Linked DNA regions of Sus scrofa. The protein of the gene in region 1 interacts with the protein of each later gene in a pairwise test. Links are inferred from orthologs where the notes say so. Each region holds a gene or a part of one and is shown in the gene's direction. Other genes may lie near its edges. The genes, in order: HMBOX1, MFAP1, AEBP2, FAM206A, ASB7, SH2 domain-containing protein 4A-like and WT1.

Region 1 (3,500 bases):
CAGCTGCCTTACAGCAGGAGACTGCCACACGTATTCTCCCCTAGCCATTTCTGCCAGTCGCACTTTTGTCCTGATGTAATTGAGAGTTTGGGGGTTTTGTTTTTTTACAAAAATGCATTTTTATCCCTAAGATGTTGGTGTCCATAGTTTTGTCTCGTTTTCTCAGTTGAGTAGAGAGAGGACATGAATTCTAATAATCTTTTTGTAATACAAGTACCAATCTGGAATTTAATAGCTCACTAGTTTGGCCTTCAGTAACTAGTGCTGTATTTCAAACATAGACTGATCCAGGTTTGATCATCACCACCAGCAATCTTTCTGATAGAAGAAATAAAATCCTCAGCAGGAAAAAAACTATTTGAATGCTTTTTATTTATTGAATCATAAAAATGCCAACCGGAAGTCTCTGGACTTAAATCCATTCAGTGTCTACTTAAATACATTTCACCTCTCTTCTGTCATGCCCCATCTCCAACTCTGTTTCCTCCCATAAATGTTCTGCCTCCCCTTGCCCCAGCATGCCTTTCTATAAGCTAGAGAATTTTACCAATCCATTAATAACAGTTGTTTCTTATTTCTGCACATCTAGGATGACAGCACTAGCCATAGTGACCACCAGGACCCCATCTCATTAGCTGTGGAAATGGCAGCAGTCAACCACACTATCTTGGCATTGGCCCGACAAGGAGCCAACGAAATCAAGACAGAGGCTCTGGATGACGACTGATCAGAGAGGGTGAACACGAGAAGTTAACTTAGTTTAGACGTAGCACCTTAGCAGACTTTCCTCGGTCCTTAACATGTGTTCTTACAGTATAACTTGCAGTTTCTTGTATGTCAGTTAGCCGTTAGGGTCTTGTTCTGTGAAGATGGCATGGTGCCCTCAGCCTTTGCATATACTCTCAGTATTAATTCCAGTAAATAATAACCAACCAACCAACCAAACTTCCCTCTCCCAGCCCCTGAGGCTAGAAAAATCTTGCTGCTCTGTCTTAGCATTCCAGGAAAGTGCTTCCAGGTATTTAGATAGCCCTCAGTTTTCAAATATTAGGCTACGTGTAAAACCTTGGGTACCTTTAGATTCCTGTAACACTAGTTTGTACCCCTTTTCCTTCCCCAAGACTGGTAGGATGCAAGCTGAGGTAGTGTGGCCCAGGATTGACAGACACCATTTGGGGAGTATCCGCAGAGTAAAAGGAACACTAGAATCCCTCCTCAGCGTGGGAGTAATTGATTTCCAGCTGCAATAAGCCGTGCCTCATAATAGTCACACTGTGGCTAGATTATACTTCTTTGGGTGCTGTGCTAAGAATGTCAGTGGAAAAACTCGATCTCAGATTTTGGTTGATGTTAACATGCCTGACACAGACATCCTTTCCTCTCACAAGCTGTGTGACTTAGATAAAATACTGCCTTCTCCTTTGGGACCATGATTAAAACAAACAGAAAAATGACAAAAAAAAAAAAAAAGTCATTAAAAAAAAACAAAACAGAAAACCCAGCTTGAGAGCATTGGAAAAAAAAAAAAAAACAAAAAACCATGAGCTGAATGTCTAATGGATTTTAAGTCCAGTTCTCAGAACCACTATACAGTATGTGGCACAGCTACGTGCCTGCCTGGAAAGGTGCTGGAGGTCGTCACGGAAGCTGCTTTGCCTCCTGTCTGTGTCCCCTTTCCCTGCTACCAAAAAAAGCTCTTTCAAGGATGGAGCTAAGGTCATAAGTAAGTGAACGAACTTCCAGTCTTTGTATCCATTAACCGAAGCCCCCTCCACATGAGAGGTTATTAGAAGACTTTATAGTGGGATTATGCTGACTGACTATCACAAATGCAAATACTTACCTAAATAGCAGCAGAAAAAAGCAGGGGACGTTTGCCACTTATGTGGTGGGTCTGCGAGATACAACAGGATGTGACTGCTTTGGTGTTCTCTTTACTCTGTCCTTGGAGAGGTGTGAAAAGCTATATTGCTACAGGCAATTTATTTAATAATTGGAAGCCATATTGATAATGGATGTGGTAATATTTGTAAAGTTTAATCTACTTTAAGCAGCAGTAACTAATGGAATTTTTTTCCTTGATCACATATGTAGCACTTTTGTTACTTTTTAAAGATATTTATATTTGATAAATCTTTTTTTCATTTTGAGAATTCAAAATACCAAACAGTGAACTTGGGTTATAAAGTCACCCTGTGATCACCTTGTCATCTAGTAGCAAAATGATGAACTATTCATGCATCAAAGAAAATTACATCTGCTGGCCTTGGATGAAAATGATCTCTTGGCATCTCGATTAAAGGACGTGCTGTCACTGTGGGTAAGAGGAAACAGCCTTCAGTGTGGCAGCGTAGGGTGCGTCTGAAAGAGGCACAACTGCTCTATATTTCCTGCCTCGCTCCATCTCTCCTTCCTATGTACAGAGAAGCCTTGTTTAAAGGGGAATATGGGGCTGGCTATTAAGCAGGGCTTTGTCTGTTTATCCATTACCTGAAAATGATTTCTGAGATTGAAGGAGGGTGCCATTTCCTTACCTCTTCACCCTTCTTCCCCCACCAGATATTTTCAACTTAAAACCATTGAGAGAGAGAGAGAGAGAGAATGACTGACCTTCTTTGTTTTTTTTCCTTCCTCATTAGTGAGATACTGAATATCCGCCAGCTTCTCGCTGGTCTCACTCCTCCACGTAAGGCATATGCTGATGAGCTCGTCTCCGCGTCTGTTAATCCTGCTTACGTCAGTGTAAGGAAGCCTTTGAGAGGCATGAAAATGCCACCTTATATGGGTCTGTGACTTTATATAGAGTTATAGGCAGGACCTGGGCCTGCTCCTGTCCATGGATTTCAGGGGGAAAATGTACATATTTTTTTCCAGCTTTCAAGAATTGAAGTAAAATGGAGCAGTCTTTTCTGTTTTACTATATTACTTGAACCAACAAATTCAAGAGTAGCATTCGTTATTCTCAGGAATGATCCCCCCACTCATTTTCTTGCTTGGTGCGTTTGACTTTTTATTTCAATTAGGAGATTGTTATCTTTCTTTCCTTTTATATTATTTAGAGAAAATATACCATATCTTTCCATTGTGGTGGAATTTTGTCTGCTTATTCTCAGTTGAATCAGAAAGAAAAGGAGAGGGAAAAATACACTGTCTGACAAGCCACATCCATGATTTATTGTAAGGAGATTATTATAATTGATAGCTTCTTTATGATGGGATGGCTAGTATCATTTGTTCTTGCTGGTCCTTGTAAAGAAGCAGACTCTTAACTGTTAAGGCAGCTGCGGTTTCTAAAGAAATACAGTGATTGCCAGAGAAGAGCTAAAAGGTTTCATTGTTTCCAGACCTTTAAGGAAGGAAAGGAAGCTTCAGAGAATAAGAGAGAGTGAGTGTCCATAAGGGGAGTACCAGGTCCTACCTGGAAATCTGGGAACGTGAAAGGGCAGGTCTGCCGGTGCAGGTAGCATTGCCTTGGGTTCAGTAGGAACCGCAGGAAGGAG
Region 2 (4,076 bases), on another chromosome or scaffold:
ATGACCTTACAAAGCCCCAACACTGGGAGAAAGTTCTCAATAGCTTCTGTATCACAAAAGCACCAAATGTAAGACTTTAGGGCACTGCATTTAAGAGTTACAGTCATATCAAACTTTTTTTTCTATTCTCTAGATGTCCGTGAGCAGAAACAACTAACTGCCTTCCCATCAGATTTACTCCTTCTGAATAGCACGGTTTTGAAGCTGATAAAATTATAATACAAATTTCTATTTGCTCTATTTTTACAGTCCTTTTCTTTCCAGCTCAAAATTGCTCCTTTGATGGCTTACTTGAGTCATCCATTGTTCCTTAATGGAGATTTGCTCAATTGTATTTCTCCCAGCCTAAGCCCAATTTTAGAACACAGATGAAATAATTTTAGAACGAATCCTTCAAAGCCCTTCAGGAACTTTCACACTCCTCAAATGAAAAATTACTGATAAAATCAAACTTTTCATAGTGTCTAATATATATACCATGCAATTTCTGTACTTCAAGACTTTGCTCATGTGTCCCTTCCCTCCCCACCACAGCAGTTATAAAATCCTTTCTACACTGAATGTGTTTTGACTTTCAATTAGCCTATGTTTTTTACACAGCCCAGCAAGTAAATTGGGATTGTTTCTGATATTACTGTAAAAGCCCTTGAAGACTTCCTAAATAAAATTCAAGTATTTGGAAGACATAAGCCTTTTAACAATGCTCCATACTCCTTAGAGCTAAACGAGGTAAATACAGCAAGTGCTTAATAATTACTTATGGACTTTCATATACAACCATTCCAGCCAAGAATATGTTTTAATAGGCAGTCTCTAGAAAGGAAAGAACTGAAACGCCTAAGAGTGTTTGGATTTCAGGCATTGTTCTAAGCCGTTTAGGGGATTTTTTTTTCCTGCCACTGGTCTAAATTAGCACCACTTGCCCTGACGTAACCCAAAAATATCGCACTACAAACCGCTCGGTCTCATCAAGTGAGAAAATCAGGTGCTATTAGCAGGATTTCTATTTCGATTTAACTCTAATTCTTAGCTTTCAACAATCTGAACACACTGTCCTTCTCTAACTCCTCGGTTTCTTCTTCATCACTTTGCCATTTTCCTCGGCTTCAAACGAACCTAATCAGCGAAACCTTTAATTCGGGTCTTCCGCGGACCTCAGAGTCTTAACCGCAAAGTCCAGAGAGCCATTTCCCGCCAGAAGTGGCGTCCAAATACCGCGAGACTAAGGTCGACAGGGAGTTTATGAGCATGCGCAGTAACAGACTCCACGGACTTTGGCTCCCTGACGTCCTCCACAATCCCACAATCCTCTAGTCGTACATTTCCTGTTTTTCTAGCTCAGCCGTAAGTGGTGTTTCTATCAGTACGCAGCAGTGTCCAGTGGCCTCTGGTGCGGAGGATTTTCTGTTCGTTGACGTTGTACCTGTTCACAGTTTGGAATCAGTCAAGTTTTGGAATCACCGCCGCTGCCATCAAAATGTCGGTCCCAAGCGCACTCATGAAACAACCGCCTATTCAGTCTACGGCTGGGGCCGTCCCGGTTCGCAATGAGAAAGGTACTGTGTTGAGCTGTTTTCCAGTCGGATCTTACTTGTTTCCCTAGCATATTCCAAACCGACCCCGGGCCCACCACCTCAGCCCCAGCGATCCTTAAGACCTTGCCCCCTATTTCTTTCGCCATCAAACTCGCATCCAATCGCGTTGCCTAGAAGGGAAAAAAACACCCACACTATTTCCACCTCATCTTGTTCCTAGAGCCTGTCGGTTCACTCCTACAGCAAGCATCCTCTTCCCTTGGCCTCCACCAATAAACTAGAGTAATAAATAAAGTGAACGCTTGCTGTTTGGAAGGCGTTGTGCGGGATACAATCCCAGTTTTGTTATCCATAATCTGTTTATGCTTTTATAACTCTTACTGTAATTATGTGTCCATCTCTCTCTACTGCATCATAAACTCATAGATTCCTCAAGGCAGGAACCCTCTCTTATTAAACTTTTTAATCCCTTTCAACCAACGCAGTGACTGTATTTGTTAAATTTAATACAGAGACAGTACCCCTAACCTTAAGGAACTCATAGTAGACGTGATTCATGCAAAAAGAGACCTATTCTAAGCAAGTGTGCAGTCTTTCGCACCCCTAATACTGTTACATAGGTGATGTAAACCAAGCGCTTTGAATAATCTCTTCAGACTGGGGTACTCAAGTTGATCTTTAAAGGATAGGTTTGATTCCAGTGAGTGCAGATGGATGAAGCAACACTGTACCTGTTTAGGGAGTCAGACTGAAAAGTCAAGAGTTTTTTCAGTAAGATATTTGGAAAATAATATCACTTCTTTCCTGTTTTTTAAATATAAGGTACTTATCCTTGTGTAACCTGCCTTTTTTTTTTTTTTTCCTTAAACTCTGTGGTTTTTTGATAAGTGCCTTTGGATACATGGAGATCTTATTAATTTAACTGCTTATGAGGTCTATTATATGGAGTTTGTTCCCTGCTGAGGGACAATTAGCTGTTTTGTTACTTTTTTTCCTCTTACACACAGCGCTGCAGTTATCATTCTTTAGTGCACTGCCTTAAGAATTTTAGGGTAGACTCCTAGAAGTTCTTCATCAATTAACTACCTATTGCCATTTGCTCTCCACAGTGGATTGTAAGAGCATTGAAAGTTTTTATTTCCTGTTATATTACCCACAATCTTGGTTGTATGAGATTTTTTTTATTTGCCCGATCTAATGGGTGTGAAACAATAGCACGTTATTTTAATTTGCAATTTCCTGAGTCCAGGATTACTAGGCATCTTGTTTGTGTGTTTATCATCTCTCTAGGTGTTGTCTTCTATGAATTATCTCTTTCAATTACCCATTTTCTATTTAGTTTGTTCTGACACATCCCAAATCTTTTTTTTTTTTTTTTTTTTTTTTTTTTTTTTTTGTCTTTTTGCCTTTTCTAGGGCCACTCCTGTGGCACATGGAGGTTCCCAGCTAGGGGTCCAATAGGAGCTGTAGCCGCCGGCCTATGCCACAGCCACTGCAACTAGGGATCTGAGCCGCGTCTGCGACCTACACCACAGCTCACGGCAATGCCGGATCCTTAACCTACTGAGCAAGGCCAGGGATCGAACCTGAAACCTCATGGTTCCGAGTCAGATTCGTTAGCCACTGTGCCACAATGGGAACTCCCCCAAACTTTAATATCTATTTCCCAGAGTTTTTTGGCTTGTCTTTTAATTATGGAGTCTTCTGTCACACAGGTGTTTTTAGTTTTATTGTTGACAGATTTAACAATTTTGTCTTTTATGTTTTGTGGTGTTTAGTATACTGTTTAAGAAATCCTTGGAGTTTCCTGGTGGCTCAGTAGGTTAAGGATCCAGTATTATCTTGGCTGTGGCTCTGATCCCAGCTGTGGCCCAGTTTCAGTCCCTGGCCCAGGAACGTCCCAATTTAAAAAAAAAAAAAAAAAAAAAAAAAAGTCTTTTGAGTTCCCCTTCCCAATTTAAAAAAAAAAAAAAAAGTCTTTTGAGTAACTTACCCAACCAGAATCCATGAGGACTCGGGTTTGATCCCTGACCCCGCTCAGTGGGTTAAGGATCTGTCATTGCTGTGAGCTGTGGTGTTGATCCCAGATGCAGCTCAGATCCCGTGTTGCTGTGACTGTGGTGTAGCCAGCAGCTGCAGCTCTGATTCAACCCCTGGCCTGGAAACCTCCACATTTCCTTGAGTGCCGCCCTAAAAAGACCAAAAAAAAAAAAAGATTTTTGGTTATCTAAGTGTTTGTATATTCTGAATAGGAAGGATTACACAGTTGTCTAAGACAGACTATAAGTTAAGGAGCTTACAGTCCAGCAGGGATGTAAATGTTTAAGATGTGTTTTTCGTGCATGAGTATTTAGCTTATCTGGAATTGTGTGTGTGTGTGGCATCCATTATAGATCTAATTTTAGTATTTACCTCAGGGCTAGCCAGTTGCCCCAACTACTCCATTGTTTTGCCGTACCCACTGCAAGTTATGCTTATTTGCCATATGTATAACTTCTTTGGTGAGGTATCTGTTAAGGTCATTTTTTTGGTTGGTTGGTT
Region 3 (3,500 bases), on another chromosome or scaffold:
TTAACCTGAGCAAGGCCAGGGATTGAATCTGTGTCCTCATGGATTCTTAAGATTTGTTTCTGCTGAGCCACTTTGGGAACTCCCCCTAGTTCAGTATTCTTGATATGGACATAACTTGAGGTTAAGGTCTGAATGCATACAATCTGAATTTGAGGGTCTCTTTTATTATTCTTAATTTAATTCAATTGATGACTTCTTTCTGAGTGAGGAGTAGTAGATTTGAATGATATAGAGGGGTGAGTTATTGTTACGTTCTCTGAGTGCTTATCCTTTTCAGGAGAAAGCATATTTGGGAGTATGGAGAAAGTACACCTTTTTTTCCTCATTAGCAACAGATCAAATAGTAAGGGGATTGTTTCTCATGAGTTTTTCTCTCCCATAAATGTCATTTTTTCTTTTTTTTCCTTACTGATACTCCCTTGTTGTTACGTTGTTAGTCTTGTGGGTTCTGTTAATTTATTACTAGCTGGTGTTTTGCTTATTTCCTTTTGAGGAAAGATCTAATGAGAAAAAAAAATACCAAGGTTGTGTCATTGAGTGTGCTAACTGGTATATTTGTATAGATGTACTGAGAGCTCCATGAATAGTGGAGGTAAATCCACTCCACTACATTAGTAGTCAGAATAGTATGATAAGTCAGCATACATGTAACTCAGAATATGCTGTACCAGCAAATCAAGCTGTTTCTTTTATTGTCAATAATATTTAATTACAGATGATCTTGAAAATAGTACATGTATTAGAAAGCTCCATAATTATAAAATACTAAATTTATTTTCCTTTATTAGGAATAAAAACTACAATTTATAATACTACTAGTGGGATGAAAATAGAAATTAAAATGTTTTTATCAAATCATCAGTGTATAACTTTGTTACTGATCACAATGAAAGGTTGCTTATTCTTGGTTTGTGAATTTCTTATTTTTTATTTTTATTTATTTTTTTGCTTTTTAGGACCACACCTGTGACATATGGAAGTTCCAGGCTAGGGATTGAATTGAAACTATAGCTCCCAGCCTACACCAGAGCCACAGCAATGAGGGATTCCCGACCCACTGGACGGATCGAGGCCAGGAATTGAACTCTCATCCTCCTGGATACTAGTAGGATTCATTTCTGCTGTGCCACAACAGGAATTCCCTGAATTTCTTATTTTAAACAATGGCATAACCTTATTAATATAAACTACACTATGACTTAGGGCATTTTTCATATGCATTTATTTTACTCACTCATAATCTATAGCTGTTGTATTTCCATTTCACAAATAAGGAAACAGGCTAATAAGTAAAGCACATTGCCCAAAGTCATGGCTGACGGTGGAATTTGGAGTTAGAAAAATTTTGGCAGACTCATTGGCATTCAAGAGTGTATTTATGGTTTTCTTAGGTTGTTAGAAGATTATTTAGAATCAAGAAAATGCTTGTCAAAAAAAAAATAATATTACCACTTGTCAAATTTGGAAAAAAAAATTTTTGGGTCTTTTTTTAGGTCTATACCTACGGCATATGGAGGTTCCCAGGCTAGGGATTGAATCCAATCTGTAGCTGCCAGCCTGTGTCACAGCCACAGCAGTCAGGATCTGAGCCGCATCTGTAATGTACACCACAGCTCAACGACAACGCCAGATCCTTAATTCCCTGAGCAAGGCCAGGGATTGAACCCTGGATACTAGTTGGTTTGTTAAGTAACCACTGAGCCATGATGGGAACTCTCTGGACAATTTTTGATTATGTATTAATGTATATTATTCTTGAGGTGTATTTTGTATGTTTGGCCTAGGTGAATGAGATCTCAGTAGTGCACTTTGGAGATGTTTATCAGATTGTTGAAAATGTAGGACTGGTACTCAGAAAGAGATGCCGGAATAAAATGTAAAATTACGTGAAAAAGGTAGTAGCTGAAATGTAGAATCATGCAGTCAGTGGTTAGAACCTCACATACCAAGGGGCAAAATTAACCCACATTTACTCATTAGCTGGGAGTTCTGCTTTTGTACATCCTAATCTTGTCAGCCAGATGATATGTTTAGAAAGCAAAGAAAATCTTGGATTTAAACACTAGATTGAGGAGCTCCTGCAGTGGTGCAACAGATTGGCTCAGCGGCGTCTTTGGAGTGCTGGGATGCAGGTTTGGTCCCTGGCCTGGCACAGTGGGTTAAGGATCCGGCATTGCAGCAGCTGCGGCTTAGGTCTTGACTGCAGCTCGGTTGTGATTCCTGGCCCAGGAATTCCATACCCTGTGGGGCAGCCCAAATGAAAAGAAAAAGAAGAGAAAAGAAAAAAAAACAGAGTTCCCGTCGTAGCTCAGCAGAAATGAATCTGACCAGCATCCATGAGATGCAGGTTCAATCCCTGGCCTTACTCAGTGGGTTAAGGATCTGGTGTTGCTGTGAGCTGTGGTGTAGGTTGCAGCCACAGCTTGGATCTGATGTTGCTGTGGCTGTGGTGTAGGCATAGGGCCGATTGGACCCCTAGCCTGGGAACATCCATATGCCATGGGTGAGACCCTAAAAAGATAAAAAATAAATGAATAAATAAATAAATAATAAAATATTGAAAATTAAAATTAAAATATTGAATATTAAAATTTGAAAAAAAATAGTAAATTGATACTTGTTCAACAGGCAAGTCTTTTTTACTTATCACACATTTTTATGGAAAATGAACTATTAATATGGCTGTTTGGCAGACTGTCATATTTTTCTAAACATTTACCTCTTTTGTATTGACTTTTAGCACGGCCACATGATTTCTTCGATGCACAAACACTGGATGCGATAAGACATCGAGCCATATGCTTTAACCTCTCAGCTCATATAGAAAGTTTAGGGAAGGGACACAGTGTTGTTTTTCATAGTACTGTAAGTATTTGATTTTTTTCCCCAAATATTTCCCACAATTTAACATTTTAATGATAAAGTTGAAATTTTTAGCCTTTAATTTGAGCTATTTAGGAGTAGTGGGGTGGCATTTGGACTATTAGGCATCTGAAGATCAGACACTGACTGGAAGTAAACTAGGTATCTTTTCTTACCTCTGGTTTCATTATGTGTAAAATTAGAACATTAGACCTCTTTATTACTTTATCATCTATGTCATTTTATTATTAAAATTTTTATTAAAGTATAGGTGATTTATAATGTGCCAATTTCTACTGTATTGTAAAGTGACTCCATCATACATATATATGCATTCTTTTTTATGTTCTTTTCCATCATGGTTAATCGCAGGAGATTGGATATAGTTCCCTGTGCTATACAGTAGAGCCTTGTTGTTTATCCATTCTATTTTTTTAATTTAATTTTATTTTTTTTGTCTTTTTTGCCATTTCTTGGGCTGCTCTTGTGGCATATGGAGGTTCCCAGGCTAGAGGTCCATTTGGAGCTGTAGCCGCCTGGCCTGTGCCAGAGCCACAGCAGCGAAGGATCCGAACTGTGTCTGCGACCTACACCACAGCTGTGACCCACACCACAGCTCACGGCAACTCTGGATCCTT
Region 4 (3,904 bases), on another chromosome or scaffold:
CACATGTGAATTTAAAAGAAAAAATAAGTGCTGAGGTAGTGAAGAAAATCACTACGAGAAAATATACAATATTTGCTTCATAACATTTTCCATTCCTAAATCATTGCCAAATTAATACACATCTAGCAATACCCTCTACTTCCACACAATGTTCAATTTTACAAAACATTACCTCTCTCCTCTCCAGCTCTAGGCAAGATGGACAGTTTATTAGAAGAGAAGGTATCACATCAAGGATAATTCAGTATCATTTTAAGTGTCCTGACAATCCCACTGGACAGGAACGTTTCAGTGGATGATCAGGTCCTTCATTTACTGAGTTCATACTGAGAGTTTCCGCCATTTACCCTCCCGTTCCAGAAGACCCTTGCGTATATTCCTCTTTATAGGCATGAAGGCCCCTAATAACCTAATTTATAGTGATTTTTCCTCACTCAGGAAGCAAAAGGACTTTAAAAACCATGGGCCTTTCTTAAAAGTCTGCATATTACAAGTAAAACAATTAGTGCTTAGGATGTCCCTGTGATAAATCTTTGTCCGAGACAGTAACACTGTTGCTGCTACTGAGGAGCAGAGAGGGGTCTGCAGGTGAACCCACTGTAGAAAAGCTTTGATTGGATCTCAGCACTGCCAATCTCTTATTCTCCCAAGGGAGGTGACAGAAGGGGGTTAAAACATTTGTTTTGACAGAGACCCAGTGATAGACAGACCCTCTGGGACAAAACCCCAGTCCTTCCTCCAGACAGTGAGGAGTCATACAGACTAGTATTTTGAAACCAGTAGCCACATGCAGAGGAGTGAAGTGCACATGGTAACACCTGAATGCTGTCAGGTAAAAAGGCTGTGAAGAATAGCACCTTGATCTCAAATGTTCACTGCAGTAAAAATTCCTGGGGGGAAAAAAGAGCAACAGATTCCCCATTGTGGCTCAGGGGGCTATGAACCCAACTAGTATCCTTGAGGACTCAGTTTCAATCCCTGGCCTTGCTCACTGGGTTAAGGATCCAGCATTGCCACAAGCTACCGTGTAGGTTGCAGATGTGCCTGTGGCGTGGGCCAACAGCTACAGCTCCGCGCCCACCCCTAGACTGGCAACTTCCATATGCTTCAGATGAGGCCCTAAAAAGCGAAAAAAGAGCAACACATGAGACATGCTTGCCTCATTTTCCCCTAAGCCTCCTTGTAGATAAGTCAGAACCTCCCTAGGTAGACCCATTTAATGCAGTACATGAAACTATAATCATGCCATAACATTCAAACATTCATTTTGACAGATACCAAGATATACTATCTACTAGTGGGTTATAACGGGTAACTTACTCTTTTCTGCTACACAAAACTTTTCTATATTTTCCAAATTTTCCTCAAAGTGCATTTTATTAAATTTTTAAAAATCCCTTCTTCAGAAAGTCTTAGTAATTCAGCCTAGTAAAGAAATTCCTTTATCTATTAAGTTCTAACATAAAAATAAGGTAAGAATCTTAATGAAACTAACTGTACAATATTGCTATCCTTTCTCGATAATGTTTAATTTTATATTATTGATTATTGATAAGATTTCTCTACCCTTTTGAAATCTTTACACTTGGCTACATGCAGCTTTCTCATTTACAGTTAAATATAAAGTATAAGTTAAGATAGAATACATTCTCAATATGTAAATTACCTGTTATCACCTGTCTTAGTCTGCTTTTTCCCCTAGAGCGTAGGATGTTGCCTCACCCATAGCAAGCGTTTAATATATAAATATTTTAACAAATGAGTGATTTTTCTGTGCTGAAGTCATTTTTATTTAAAGTAGTACTTCCAGGAACATATCCCATTCTAACACTGAAAGCTACTGCTCAAAGAAAAGTGAGTATGTACATCAGTTCATTGTTTCCTCCCTTTTATTATCAGGGGGCACAGTTTCTAACAGAACTTGCACCTCTGTGTAAGATTTACTGCTCAGATGGAGAAGAATACACAATATCTAGGTGAGTTAATTTTATCTTTTAGTATTTAATTTTTTTTGTTTTTGGCCACACCCATGGCGTGTGGAAGTTCCCAGGCCAGGGGTCAAACCTGTACTGCAGTTGTGACCTGCCCCACAATAGCAACCCTAGCCCCTGAAGTGACAACGCCTGATCCTTAACCTGCTGCACCACAAGGGCACTCCCTACGTCAGTTACTTTTTAACCACAATTTTGGAGGAACAAATGAGGTAATATTTTTCTTCAAAACAATTTTGTTTTAAATAGCTGTGTCAGAGGACGGTTGATGGAAGTGAATGAAGACATTCTCCATAAGCCATCTATTCTTCAAGAGAAGGTAAAGGGGACTGGAGCAGTCTGATCCCAGCCACATATTTTCTGTCTGATTCCCTGTCATTTGACAGTATTAAATATTCTGTTTCCCCTCCAGCCGTCCACCGAAGGCTACATTGCAGTTGTGTTGCCCAAATTTGAAGAAAGTAAAAGCGTAACAGAAGGGCTACTGACGCAACAACAATATGAAGAAGTCTTGGCCAGTCGCGCCAATGCCACATCAGCTACAGCGTGAGGACTGAGGTGCAGTAAAAAGCAACAGGCCTTCTCTCCTCGCCTGCCAGCCAGTCAGTGCCCTAAGGAAGCAGCAGCGTAGCTGAAGCCTGCTTCCCACCCAGCCATCCGCAGGGAGGCCTGATCTCAACACTCGACCTAGTCTTCCCTCTTCGTCTCCCATAACAGGCCTTGAATCTGTTTGTCTTCACTCTCCCAGATCTGCCTGCCCAGGTGCTCCCTGTGCTCTTCTTTTGTTTTTCTCTAACAACTGGCAAGTGAGAGATGTTTTTCCCATTAAAAACCAACAAACAAAGCACTTTGAGGAAAATCTGAAAGACATCGAAGTTAGCATAATTTACCCATCATCCTGTAACCCATTCTTAGTAAATACTACGTTTTGACCTAATTCTGTGTAAATGTTATGGCATGGTTAATGTTTTGGCCTCAGTTTTCCATCGCTTTGAAGTTAAAAATCAACAGCTGGCCTTTCTTACCCAGTCTGCTTCAGTGTGACACCACTAAAGGCATCTGGTGCCACCCCTTTTGCCCCAACTTCCTCCCCCTTAGGTTGCTGGGAAGCAGCAGGGTGTGGAGTGTGCCGTCCCTGTTCCTTGTGGGTTGGCCTTCACCTGTCCAGCAGTGTGGCACTGTGACTTCTGAATGAGGGACACGGGAAAAGGCTTTGTAAAGAGCAAAGGGCTTTGCTGACATATGGAAGTTTCACACTGCAGCGTGAAGTAATGTGTGCATTTGTGGACACTCAGTCTCTCACTCGAGTTACAGGGTAACCAGCTAAGAAGTTACTGAGCAGTTACTGTAGTTCAAAGACACAGATGCCTTTGAACAGAACAAAAGCTTTCATGTCATTGTTTAAAAAAAAAACTATGAATTTATGGTTTAAGATTATATATTTACTTATATTGAATTTCAAATAAAAGGACTTTTAAGATTGTTATTTTTCCTTAAGGGCTGCAACCCATGCATACATATAAATAATCTGTTTTTAAATAAAACAATTATCCTTGATGTGTAAATTCTTTTGGTTTCCATCATCTTATACTGTTGAAGTCATAAGTTATCCCCCTCCCACCCCAACTTGCACTTAAATAAGAGAATATTCTTACTTCTGGTATATAAATGATTTTGGAAATAAAATTTTAAAATTATTTTTGACTCACAAGAAAACTTCTTTAAACTAACGTGCCAGCATGGCTGTCCCCTAAGTATATTCACCAGACATAATACAGGTAGCAACTCTTTATTTAAACATCCACTTTGATGGTGCTATGAGCTAAAAAATGTAAGCACAAAGCAGCAAATTCCCATTTCATGTAGCACAGTTGATTCCCAAAGATGTCATAAAACAAAGATATTAAAGATAG
Region 5 (3,500 bases), on another chromosome or scaffold:
GAACTTCAGGAAGAGTTGCAGATCCAGGCTGCAGTGGCTGCCGGGGATGTCCACACAGTACGAAAGATGTTAGAACAAGGCTATTCCCCCAATGGCCGGGATGCTAATGGCTGGACCCTGCTTCATTTCTCTGCAGCAAGAGGAAAGGAAAGATGTGTTCGAGTATTTCTAGAACATGGAGGTGAGTGTACTAGGAGCAAAATCTTTTTTTCCCTAAGAAGAAACTTAAAATGAAATTCTGTTTAGTTTAAAATATAAGTGTGCATATTTATACAATTTTTAATACTTCTTATTCATACTCAATTTCTTATTCTCTCTCCTTTGTGAAGATTATCATCATGTTGAGTTTTGTTTGAAACCAAATTGTCTAAAAAACTTGTTAATATGCTTTTTTCCTCCTATAATTCTAGTTTATGTACAGCCAGATTTTCCCAGATTATTCAACTAAAAGCAGCCTTTCTTCAGGTTGTCCAATTGCTTCGTTTCAGAAGCAGAAGTGGCTGTGGTATTGGTAATTAGAGTGTTGCTCAAGTTTCCCCTGTTAGAATTGCTCAAGCAGACAGGGCACGTGCAGGCCCCTTTAAATATCGTGGCTGTAATGACACCCTATCTTTTGACTCTATCACTTAAAAAAAAAAATTTAGGTGCTTTTATTGCTGTTTAGAATACTTGGCTTTTCCAGAATTGTACATGGTTTCTAGGTATCCTATAAGATTGGTTATCAGAGGTCTAATTTTGTGTTAAATATATACAGTTTGAAAAATGCACTTCACATTTTATATTTTTGCCTTGAAAAACAATCCCCTCCCATAATTAATAATAACTAATCATTATCTTAAACTAATTTACTTTTTTCTCCAGTTGGGTATCCATTTAATTTATTTTCTTAAAGATGAACAAGTGTATTTTATCATTTGTACTCATATTATTCTTGTAAATTAAGGTGTAAAACATCCTGGTTGGGACTCAGGTTCCATTATGTACCATTCTAGGGCCTGGATTGCTTATTAACAATCATTTAGTTTCATTTCTAAAGTGTACTTTATCAAGACTAGTCCAGCTTAATTGCAAACTTAACTTGAAGTACAGAAAACATAGAAGTCCGCTAGTCCTGAGATCAGGAATCAGCACACATCTGAATGACCCTGAAATAGGAAGCATGCCCCGAAATAGTTGGCTGTGGACAGGACCTTGCCATTCGCTGACCTGCGCTCCTTTGTAGTGTGTGTAGTGAGGTGTGGGTCTTCCCTTGCTCACACCTCGGTTCACCTTGAAGCTTGAAAACCTCAGCCCTGAAGGTAAGGAGGGGGAAACCAAGAAGAATACCAGGAGAAAGACCTGAAAAAAACTCATAGGTGGGTGTCAGATCAGAATACTTAAAATTCCGGCAATGTTCAGTAAAATTAAGACCAAGATAAGAACTCATGTTTTTTAATTCCACCTCATCATGTTACTTTCTACTTGTGCCAGCCTTGCTTGTAAAACATTTTTTTTTAATGTTCCATTACTCTGGTAATACATGAACTTGTCTTCTTCAAATAATACACATTTTCAAATAAATTACAAATAATGCCCAAATCCCCTTTGGCCAGCTCCCAGTCCTTATCTGCCTACCCCTGCCCAGAAGTAACCCATGGGTGTGAGTTTGGCTTGGTCCTTATCTTTCTAGATCATTTCCTTATGTACCCATAGAAAATATGTCTTTCTGTGTGATATGCAGTTTTAGAATATAAATGAAATCATGCTGACCATATTATTCTGCAAGTGTTATTTTTTTGCTCAGCTATATAACTTAAGATTTTCTTAATATCAGTGGTTAGCAAACTTTTTCTGTAAAAAGCCAGATAGTTAAGTATCTTAGACTTTGCGAATCCTCCCTGTTTCTGTCATTAACTACTCTGCCCTTGTGGTATGAAGGCAGCCTTATTTAATGTGAACCAATGAGTGTGGCAGTGTGCTGATAAAACTTTATTCATAAAAACCAATGGCATGCCAGGTTTGGTCTCAGGGCCCCAGTTTGCTGAACCCTATATCTTCACCCTCTCCCCCTTTCTCTGTGTGTGTGTGTGTGTGTGTGTGTGTGTATGTGTGTGTATGTATGTGTAGATATTTTTAACATCTTTTATTGAGATAGAATTCACATACTTTACAGTTCATTTAAAGTGTCCTCTTTTTGCATATTCAGAGTTGAGCATGCATCGCCAGAACCAGTTTTGAAACCTTTTCGTTACATGAAAAAGAAACCTTGTCCCTTTTCAATAATAATACATATGGATTTACTGTCTTCTTTACAACTGCTGGATATAGGCTTTATTAGTATGGATGACTGTTTATTTAAACCATCCTTTGTATTTTTTGAGAGTGGCTGCAGTTTTCTCCACAGGAGATAGTGTGTTGAGAAGGTAATCCATGCACAAATGAGAGTGGTCAGAAACAGAGCATAAGGGGATGGTGCAGACTGTTCAGTGAGGGGAGCCGCTGCCCCTTGGATTCCAGCCTCAGCTCCTTCCTGGAGGCGGTCACTGTCCCTGCAGCCATGGTTTGTGCTAGAAGTGTGTGATTTTTTTCCATCCTTCTTCTAGCCTGCTTCCCTTTTGTCCGTGGTCTGCTCTACATCTGGATTTTCTTTTTTTTTCACAAAACACTAGCTAAGTGATAGTTCATGACTGTATCTCAAATTCCATTTTATGGGTGTGATTTATTTAAATTTATTCCCTGTCGTTGGACATTCTGATTTTTCATTTTCCTGCTTCTTCAAACAGAATTATAGAGAATCCTTGACTGATCTTTTTACAGATGAGAGTTTATCTCTTGGATAATTCCTAGGAGTTCAGTGATACAGTTACCCCTTCAAAGGGATGTTAATTTTGTTTGTTTGTTTTTGATGGACATTGACAAATTGTCCTTTAAAGAAGGCTGTTGATGGCTCTGTCCTTATGGGGTGGGAGGATGCCCAGGCGTGTATCACTAGGTGCTTTGCACTTCCTCTGGGTGATCTGCTTGCCTCTTTTTTTTTTTTTTTTTTTTTTTTTGCCCCCCCCCCCAATGATATATGAATAGCAAAGCATTGCAAGACTAAACTGCTTGGCTTGTCTTTTTCTTACCACTTGTAGGAGCTGTTTATATATGTTGCTACAGTCTTCCAGTTTGCAGCTTTTTCACATTCTTGCTGTGTTTGTTTGGGGGACAGAAGTCTGCGTTTTAATGTAGGTGAATTGTATTTTTCTTTTGGCTTATGGCTTGTGCTTTTTGTATCTGGTACATCATACCACAGGGTCATTATTTGCCTGTGTTTTCTTCTAAAAAGTCTTGTGGTATTTAGGACTTTATCCAGAATTGGTTGTGTGTAACATGAGGTGGGTGGCTATTTCATACATAAAGGTAACCTCAGCCATCCCTTCTTTCCTTATTGCTCTGTCATACCAACTCAGATACACAATATTTATATATGCATGGCTCCATCAGTTCTGTTGTCTGCTGGTATAATATTGTTGTAAATT
Region 6 (4,266 bases), on another chromosome or scaffold:
ACTCTGCCCTGGGTGGGCATCGGAACTCCTGAATAGGCGTGCTGGTGACACCCATCCTATGTGTCTCTGACTCACCAAGGACCAGCAGGAAGCAGAGGCTCAGCCCCTGTCTCCTGCCAAGGGCCCGTGGCCCAGACCTACTCTCTGTAGGAGTGTTGCTGCCATGTGAAGGCGACAGTCCTCCACAACGCATTGCAGATGCCAGAGTCGGAAATGTTTCCACTGAGAGCATGGCCCAAAGGGCAGAAAATAATTCAGGGCCTCGTAATTACATAACAGAGCCCCTTGATGTTTTTTGGAGCAATTTTACCATGTGGAGCATTTGAACTGTAACACATCCTGCATACCTATTGTGTGTCTGGGTGTTGGGTAGGATTCAAACCTTCCTGGGGTAGATTAGTCCTTACTTGATGTTTATGATTTCAAAGAGGTATAAAACATAGAGCTGCTGTAGCAGGCAGTGCTGCAGGGAGGATGGCAATGCAGGCCCTGGCCATCTGTTCCCTGCAGGCCCCCAGTGTCACCACTGGCCTGGCTCCTGGCAAGTGTTCATTAAATGGTTCTCAGATGTGTTAAATGCTCACTTTACAGTTCTTCCACTGCCCATGCAAGAAGTGTTAGGCTTCCTTCAGAGCTGGCCACAGCAGCGAGCCAGGGCCAAATGACACTCCAGCCAGAAAGACCCTAAGGGGCCATTCATTTAATAAGCAGTGGAACCAAACTGAACCAGGAATTCTCCCCAGATAGGATCTCCAGAATAGCCTTTAAATAGCTAGGCAGGAGGACTGACCTCTACCCCAAGGCTCTAACTTCTGTAGTACGGGAAGCCTAGAAATGGGAAGGTTTCATTCTGAAGGAGCAAGTCAGGCAGGCTGCGTGGAAGAGGACCACATCGCAGTCTATAACCTCTCTCCCTGACACCTGCACCATGGGGTCACCAAAGCAGGCTGTTTGCCGCACACATTCTGAACGTTTCCTCTAGAAGGAACATGCCCCCCCAATGTTTCCACGCTGCTTCTACTGAACTTTCCTCCCAGATTTCCTTTTCCCTCCTCGGCCAGCTCCTCCTCCTTCAGCAACCACCCCAACCTGACTTGGCCGCTGCTCTCAGCATTCCTTTTCTTCTGCCCTTCTCTTTGGATTTCTTTCATTTTCTCTCCCCGTCCCCGCTGTCTCCAGTCTCCATCTTTCCAGCTGTTCTCCTCTTTGGTCCTGTCCTCCTACAAAGCCACACCCCTCCGGACAAGTGCCCAAGAGTTTGGTAATTTTCTCAAAGTCAACAACAACAACAACAACAACAACAAAAAGTGAGCTCCAGAGGCGCCAGAACAGAAGTTCAGCCCGCGGAGCGAAGAAAGGCCCGCCCGCCGCCGGCTCAGGCCCCACCTGCCAGGAAGCCTGGTGCCTGGCCGGGATCTCACCACCGTCCGCAGGACGCGCGCGGCGGGACCAGCCCCGGTGCCGCAGGTTCGAACGGACGGGCGGGCTGGGGACGCGCTTGGCTCATGTCGCGGCCGCGTGTCTGTGCAGCCGACTGCTCCTTCTCCTCCCTCGGCACCCGATCAGGCGGCCCAGCCCCGCGCAGGCAGGTGCGGGCCGGGAGGGGCCAGATGCGGCCAGTGAGTGCGGGCGAGCGGGCGGGCGGCGGGGGTGGATGTCCCCGTGGGTTCTGGTCCCGCTGGCGCGCGGCGCGTTCCTCCGCCGGGGGGTCAGGTGCTGGCGGGGCGGGCGGGCGAGTGTCCGGTGTCGGTGTCCGGTGTCGCTGCACCGGCGGGAGAGCAGAGGCGCTGAGGGCCGGCCGGCGGTCGTGGTGAGGGGTACGCGGGCGGCGGGGCGCGCGGGAAGCTCCTGCTGCAGGCGGCCGCGTCCCCCGAGGGGCGCGAGCGGGGCTGCCAGGGAGGAAGCGTGCAGAAGGCCGGCAGTGGCCCGTGGGGGTCGCGGGCGGAGGGAAAGGCCGGGTCTGAGGGCGCTTTCTGCCTTTGAGGGTGCGGGGTGGGGCCCAGGGTGGGCGCGCAGGGCCCAGGGTGGGCGCGCCGCCCCCCGGAAGGCGGACCAGACTGTGGCCGCAGGTGGCCTGGCCGTGACCTTTCCCTGCTCTCTCCCGCCCTCTGGTTCACGCGGGCTCCCCAGAGGTGGCATGAGGGGCAGCGAAGAGGGCAAAACTGTGCAGGTTTGCTCAGAATTGTCTTACCCTCCCAAGAGTCACTGGAAGAGCAAGTGAACTCCCCTCCTCTCTTTCTAAACTTGGAGTCTGCTCACCTCCTAAAAGGCTTTGTTTGATTGCCTGTTTAATAGAAATGACTTGGGATACAATCATTATTTTAAGTGAATAAGTGAGTGAAGGCCTATCCCAGGTACAGATTTGGCATGTGAGAGGAATTTCTGGAGAAATTCACGTACAGCGATTTTTAAATACCTGAAGAATGGTATGTATTTATCAAATTTACCAAACTGCTGTCACCCATGGTAATTTGTTTTATCCTCAAAAATAGCCCTTTTGCAGATAGATTAACAAGGTAAAGTTGAGTAAGAGCATGGAAAGTCTGGAAACAGGGCTTTTTAAAAAGAATTAGAATTCAAACTATGTTTTTAACATTAAAGTACACTGTCCATATTACAATATTTTTATGATTTAGGCGTATCTCTGGTAAAGTAAGATCTCAGAGTCATTCAAAATACAATTCTTGGAGTTCCTGTTGTGGCTCAGTGGTTAAGAACCTGACATAGTGTCCACAGGAGACGGGTTGGATCCCTGGCCTTGCTCAGTGGTTAAGTGAGGATCCTGCATTGCTGCTGCAGCAGCATGGATTGCAGATGCAGCTCTGATTAGACCCCTAGCCTGGCAACTTCCAAATGCCGCCGGTGCAGCTATAAAAAATACCAAAAAATATAATTACTGTTTATAAAACAGTGGCTCTGGGAAATATGGGTGCCATGACCCTTTGAATTTTTGGAAAAAAAATAGCAGATGTGGACTCTTTGCTTGTTGTCATTTCTGTGTTTTAAGAATAGTGCTGCTCAGGAGGAAAAGAGTTAGCTGAGTTTTCCTTTCTACTGGATCTTAAATAACTGGGTAGCACTCAATGAATTGGATACGGAAGTTACCTGTGTTTGATCGTATCAAGCACTGATTGTCAGGGAAACCAGGGGAAACCCCTGGTTGGTTAATTTCCTTGTTTCTGTTTCCGCTGACCCAGCCCCACTTGCGTCTGGAACTCCGCACTATAATGTAGTGTATTCCTAAGATGACAAAGATTCAAGTTCAGGCTCATTTCGTGGCAAGGAGACTGAGTCCGAGGAAGGGAAGTGACAACGCAAACATCCACAGCTCAGGAGAGGCAGAGCTGTGAGCCGAGAGCTTCCTGTGCTGTGTTTGAGGAAGGAGTTCCGTTCACGCTGGTGGGTGTTCACAGCCTCCGAGTGGCATGCATATTATTCAGCCTCACCCCACAGAAAGGTTGTAAACTATGTTCCCAAGTTTCCCCTGAGGACAGGGGGAGGCCAGTGTCTTTCCTTCAAGATCCACTTTAACGTCAAAAATCTATTTGTTGCAAAAGGCAAAACGGCACAAAATCGCAGCTGTGAGGTCTTGACTGTGTCCCTTCCTGCCATCCTTCTGCCCCCTGCCCCCAGTGCTGCTCTTGGGGGTGGTAGGAGGGGGACTGAGGAGGCTCAATACTCAGTGACTGACTGGGCATCAGTATCTGCGCCTGCGCCAACATGACGTCACTTCCCGCCATCTTTCCGGGGTGAGGGCTTTTCAATGCCCAGCGTCCCCAAAGCCCACCTGCAGTTACAGAGATGAGGCTTCTGCCTCCCAAGAAGGACCCTGCCTCATGTACCTTCGGTTCACCGTTTCCGCTGCCTCTAGAATTTGCTGGTTTTCATTCTGAAACTTCACCCGTGGGGCCTCATCCTGATGATGTTCTGATTCTGGGCTCACGGAGAAAACCTCCTGCAGTGACGTGGAGCCAAACCGCCCAGTGCCGCCCCTTTCCATCTTCTGTGAAATGGGCAGAGGGAGGGACTGAACACCAAGGTTATGGTGAAGGTTCATAAGTTACTGCATGTGCAGGGCTCAAGGTGGTGGCTGCCCAGCAGGAGTCAGCGCTTGTCACCAGTGCTGGAGGGAGGGGGCGCTGTGAAGGTGGCACGTGCCAAGTTGTAGTTTTTAGGCTCTCCCCACACCGTCGGTGTTGCTGTCACCCAATTCAAAATGGGGAACAGAGTAGAAGTTTCCAGCTTCCCTGAGCAGCTCCTTCTCCA
Region 7 (3,500 bases), on another chromosome or scaffold:
GGGAAGACAGACAATAAAGACCCAAGATCAGCAGAGTTTAAGTCCATCCAGAGACTGAGGAGAATGGAGACCAACAGGAGGAAGGGTGGGGATTTGCCCCTTAGGAGGTGACCTTGGACAGTGTGGCTGGGGGGAAGAGTGGGGCACCGGAGCCAGCTGAGGAAGAGCAGACCAACAGTGAGTGGGAGGTGAGGGAAATGCAAGGACCTGAACCCTGTGCAGCCCCAACAGGCTGTATGTACAGACAGTCGAGGCACCTGTGCCCCAGAGCTGGTGGGCTGGGCATCTTGTTCCTCTGCTCAGGTGCCTTTGGTGTCACTTCTTTGCCTTAATCCTGAGCTCATAATTTGGTGGGAAAGAGTTATCTCCCCTTGTACCCCACTCCCGCCCTGTGCTTTTCTGTATATGTACAAAGTGACGCATGTCACCGGCAGATTGCTGAGGCCTGTATTTGATTGCTCTCCCCGCCCCCCACCCACCACCTGGTTCTGACCCTGGGACAGTGCCTCCCCTGGGCCATTTCTCAGTGCTTGTCCCATCCGGTGGTTCTCAGAGAAGGCAAAGTGTGGGACAAGCCATATCCCGAGAAGATCCTCTGCTGGCACAGGCATTGGCTCCTGTGACATTTTTACTTAGGATAAAGCCATGGCTGTGTGTCCATTATGCTGAGAGGAGGTGAGATGCAGCAAAGTGTGTGGACTTTGGAATCAGACAGACCTGGATGCAAGTCCTCTTGCGTCTGCCCTCACTCGTGGTCCAGCCTCATCTGTAGAATGGGGATAATAGCGCTCACCTTACAGGCTGTTGTAAGGAGAATACAAAATGATGTGTGTACGTGTATGTGTACACACATACATAATAAGGCCAGATATGTATGTGCGATACCTAGTACAAGGCTTGGCATTATTAGGCATTTAATAAATGCTAATTGTCTTTATCCAAAATGAAGCTTGAAAGGAACTTCTGAGGCCTCCTTAGATGAAGATGCCTCAATTTTTTGGCAAGCGTGTTAAAAATTTCAAAGCCATGCCTCAACTGGAATCTTCTGTATAATGGATATTATGCTCTGAGTAAGCCTTTAAGGCAAAGAAGCAAATACCATGTGCGCTGATGCCAGTGATTTATTTAAAGATGCCGAGCCCGTCCAGAAGACCTATACAGAGACACTAAGGCTGCAGTCGCAGCTCTGCCACCACCTGGCAATCTACCAACAGTATCCAAGGTGATGGGCCCAAGGCCCTCACCTTCCAGTGAAGCTCAGTTCCCTCCTTAAACAGCAAAGGGGAAACATTTACAGTCTGGTGTCAGACGTTGAACCAAATATTGCCCCCTCCCCATTAAAGATGACTTGCCCAGACATTTCAGATAACTACGCTCATTCCTGCGCTCCCATTCCCCAAATCGTCTGACTCAAGAGCAATTTTATAATTTTCGTGATATTTTAATCCGTAAGGCCCCAGAGACACTGCCCGTGCGACGAGCCCGAGCCGTTAGCTTAAGGAAAGAGCTAGAGGGGATCTGGAGTGGGTGCCTTGTGGTGATTTAACTCTGGCCTTTGATAACTTGTGCCCCATCTCTGCACCGCAAGTGTCTCTGACTGGCCATTGTGTCAACAGGTGAAAAGCCCTTCAGCTGTCGGTGGCCCAGTTGTCAGAAAAAGTTTGCCCGGTCAGACGAATTAGTCCGTCATCACAACATGCACCAGAGAAACATGAGCAAACTCCAGCTGGCGCTCTGAGGGCTCCACCCCGGGCACCGCTCCGTGTCCAGGCAGGACGGTGTGTGAACGACTTTGCAAGCTGACTTTAACATTCCTCCTGGCTCGCCTCTCAAAGAAGGAAACGGCGGCCGACCTTCATCCAGCGTCCGAGACAAGATGCCTGAACCACTGGATCCTACCAGGTTTGCCTGGAGGAGTTGGTCCCTCTGCTTGGCCACCTCTGAGCCCTGGAGAAGTGGCTCTCAGTGTCCAGTTAGTTAAAAGCCCGTCGCCATGTGGTCTGGATCCTCCACTGTAAGAAGAGCCGTGGTTGATACTGTTCCTCCCCCATCCCCCCGCCCCCACCCCGTCTCCCTTTACGCTCATTTTCACAAGGAATGGAGTCATTGTACCATTTTCCATCATAGAATATTTATAGGCCAGGGCATGTGGATGTGTCTGCTAATGTAAACTTTGTCATGGTTTCCATTTACTAACAGCAACAGCAAGAAATAAATCAGAGGGCAAGGCACTGGGGGTGAGTCCCGTCCGACATTCCGGAGGTTAGGCAGGCTGCTAACCTGAAGGCAGGATGTAGCGCCACCAGGCAGCTTTGAAAACGCCAGCATTTCAAGCAGCTGAAAAAAAGAATCAGCACTAACCAGTACCTCTGCACAGATCTCTAAAGGAATCTTCCCATTCAGTGTAACTCAGTGTTAACAGGAGCACAGTGCTCTTAAGAAACTGTGCTTGAAGATCTGAGATTTTGTTTGGGGGTTTCTTCTTGACTTTTCGGAGTTGTAATCATAGGCATCTTCAGAGATGCACATATCTCCTCACACAAAGGAAGTGGAATCCATTTTCATCATCTGGGGGGTGTCCTTAGAATGTACAGACCACGCTGGTTATGGGGCTTCGAGTTGTTAAAAATTAAGGTGACTCTAAAAGGAAATAAGGGCTGGTCCAGGATCTCCCACTGATAAGACTGTTCCTAATAACTTAAGTAACTTTGGGTCTACAAGTATATGTGGAAAAAAAAAAAATGAGACTTGCTAGTGTGAGGAAATCCATTGTTTAAAGGTGGTTGGGTATATGTGTGGTTTTTTGGGTTTTTCTGTTTGTTTTTTAAGGGAGGGAGTTTATTATTTACTGTTGCTTGAAATGATTGTGTAAATATATCTATCTGATAATGATTTGCTCCTTGACAACTAAAATTAGGAAATGTATAAATGTTAGATGCATCACTGTTTTGGTGTTGATCTTCCAACATATTGATGATAACACTAAAAATGTAACCTGCATTTTTCACTTCGCTCTCAATTAAAGTCTATTCAAAAGGAAAGTGGTAAGATTCTATCAGCTGTATTGTGTTTAAATCTTGAGGACAGATGAGCTCTGCTAAGCAGGTGAGATGCTGACAGTGACATCAGTGACCACTAGTTAAGTCTGTCCAGGTCCTGACCACTATTTGTTTCTCTCCGTTGAACCTCAGGAGGCAATTACTGGTCCTAGAAGCAGCCAGAGAGCACGGCTTTCACCTCTCATCATAGAGCGATGGCTCTCATGCTGTGATTGCATAAGGGCAGGGGTGGGGAATTCTGTTTCCATGGTCATTTATATCTGGCTATCATTGCATCACTTCCTGTTCCAAGTCAGCAGAGGAGACCAGAGAAATACAAGAAATAACTGGTCTTTTTGGAAAGGTTCACAGATAGGCACTGCAGTCAGAAGGGGATAAGCTGAACACCTAGCACAACCTAATTCGCAACTGTAGTTGCTATAAATTAGTTCAGCAGGTTGA

What was found.
Region 2: the proteins of HMBOX1 (region 1) and MFAP1 interact in binary tests that used the Homo sapiens proteins (3 or more experiments, as listed by UniProt). The two-hybrid records come from large-scale screens. The link is inferred for Sus scrofa from reciprocal best matches to the Homo sapiens genes HMBOX1 and MFAP1.
Region 3: the proteins of HMBOX1 (region 1) and AEBP2 interact in binary tests that used the Homo sapiens proteins (3 or more experiments, as listed by UniProt). The two-hybrid records come from large-scale screens. The link is inferred for Sus scrofa from reciprocal best matches to the Homo sapiens genes HMBOX1 and AEBP2.
Region 4: the proteins of HMBOX1 (region 1) and FAM206A interact in binary tests that used the Homo sapiens proteins (3 or more experiments, as listed by UniProt). The two-hybrid records come from large-scale screens. The link is inferred for Sus scrofa from reciprocal best matches to the Homo sapiens genes HMBOX1 and ABITRAM.
Region 5: the proteins of HMBOX1 (region 1) and ASB7 interact in binary tests that used the Homo sapiens proteins (3 or more experiments, as listed by UniProt). The two-hybrid records come from large-scale screens. The link is inferred for Sus scrofa from reciprocal best matches to the Homo sapiens genes HMBOX1 and ASB7.
Region 6: the proteins of HMBOX1 (region 1) and SH2 domain-containing protein 4A-like interact in binary tests that used the Homo sapiens proteins (3 or more experiments, as listed by UniProt). The two-hybrid records come from large-scale screens. The link is inferred for Sus scrofa from reciprocal best matches to the Homo sapiens genes HMBOX1 and SH2D4A.
Region 7: the proteins of HMBOX1 (region 1) and WT1 interact in binary tests that used the Homo sapiens proteins (3 or more experiments, as listed by UniProt). The link is inferred for Sus scrofa from reciprocal best matches to the Homo sapiens genes HMBOX1 and WT1.

The regions. Positions count from the first base shown.
Region 1 is NC_010456.5:12,881,107-12,884,606, forward strand, and holds part of HMBOX1 (homeobox-containing protein 1), read left to right. Parts: intron 1-589; coding exon 590-727; 3' UTR 728-3,500. UniProt on the Homo sapiens protein: Binds directly to 5'-TTAGGG-3' repeats in telomeric DNA. Associates with the telomerase complex at sites of active telomere processing and positively regulates telomere elongation.
Region 2 is NC_010443.5:127,740,131-127,744,206, forward strand, and holds the start of MFAP1 (microfibrillar-associated protein 1), read left to right. Parts: upstream 1-1,276; 5' UTR 1,277-1,477; coding exon 1,478-1,556; intron 1,557-4,076. UniProt on the Homo sapiens protein: Involved in pre-mRNA splicing as a component of the spliceosome.
Region 3 is NC_010447.5:53,632,488-53,635,987, reverse strand, and holds part of AEBP2 (zinc finger protein AEBP2), read left to right. Parts: intron 1-2,740; coding exon 2,741-2,865; intron 2,866-3,500. UniProt on the Homo sapiens protein: Acts as an accessory subunit for the core Polycomb repressive complex 2 (PRC2), which mediates histone H3K27 (H3K27me3) trimethylation on chromatin leading to transcriptional repression of the affected target gene.
Region 4 is NC_010443.5:249,898,494-249,902,397, reverse strand, and holds the end of FAM206A (protein Simiate), read left to right. Parts: intron 1-1,899; coding exon 1,900-1,976; intron 1,977-2,240; coding exon 2,241-2,310; intron 2,311-2,403; coding exon 2,404-2,541; 3' UTR 2,542-3,404; downstream 3,405-3,904. UniProt on the Homo sapiens protein: Actin-binding protein that regulates actin polymerization, filopodia dynamics and increases the branching of proximal dendrites of developing neurons.
Region 5 is NC_010443.5:139,201,407-139,204,906, forward strand, and holds part of ASB7 (ankyrin repeat and SOCS box protein 7), read left to right. Parts: coding exon 1-181; intron 182-3,500. UniProt on the Homo sapiens protein: Probable substrate-recognition component of a SCF-like ECS (Elongin-Cullin-SOCS-box protein) E3 ubiquitin-protein ligase complex which mediates the ubiquitination and subsequent proteasomal degradation of target proteins.
Region 6 is NW_018084867.1:67,350-71,615, reverse strand, and holds the start of SH2 domain-containing protein 4A-like, read left to right. Parts: upstream 1-1,466; 5' UTR 1,467-1,589; intron 1,590-1,762; exon of another isoform or gene 1,763-1,817; intron 1,818-4,266. UniProt on the Homo sapiens protein: Inhibits estrogen-induced cell proliferation by competing with PLCG for binding to ESR1, blocking the effect of estrogen on PLCG and repressing estrogen-induced proliferation. May play a role in T-cell development and function.
Region 7 is NC_010444.4:28,452,967-28,456,466, forward strand, and holds the end of WT1 (Wilms tumor protein homolog), read left to right. Parts: intron 1-1,616; coding exon 1,617-1,738; 3' UTR 1,739-3,041; downstream 3,042-3,500. UniProt on the Homo sapiens protein: Transcription factor that plays an important role in cellular development and cell survival. Recognizes and binds to the DNA sequence 5'-GCG(T/G)GGGCG-3'. Regulates the expression of numerous target genes, including EPO.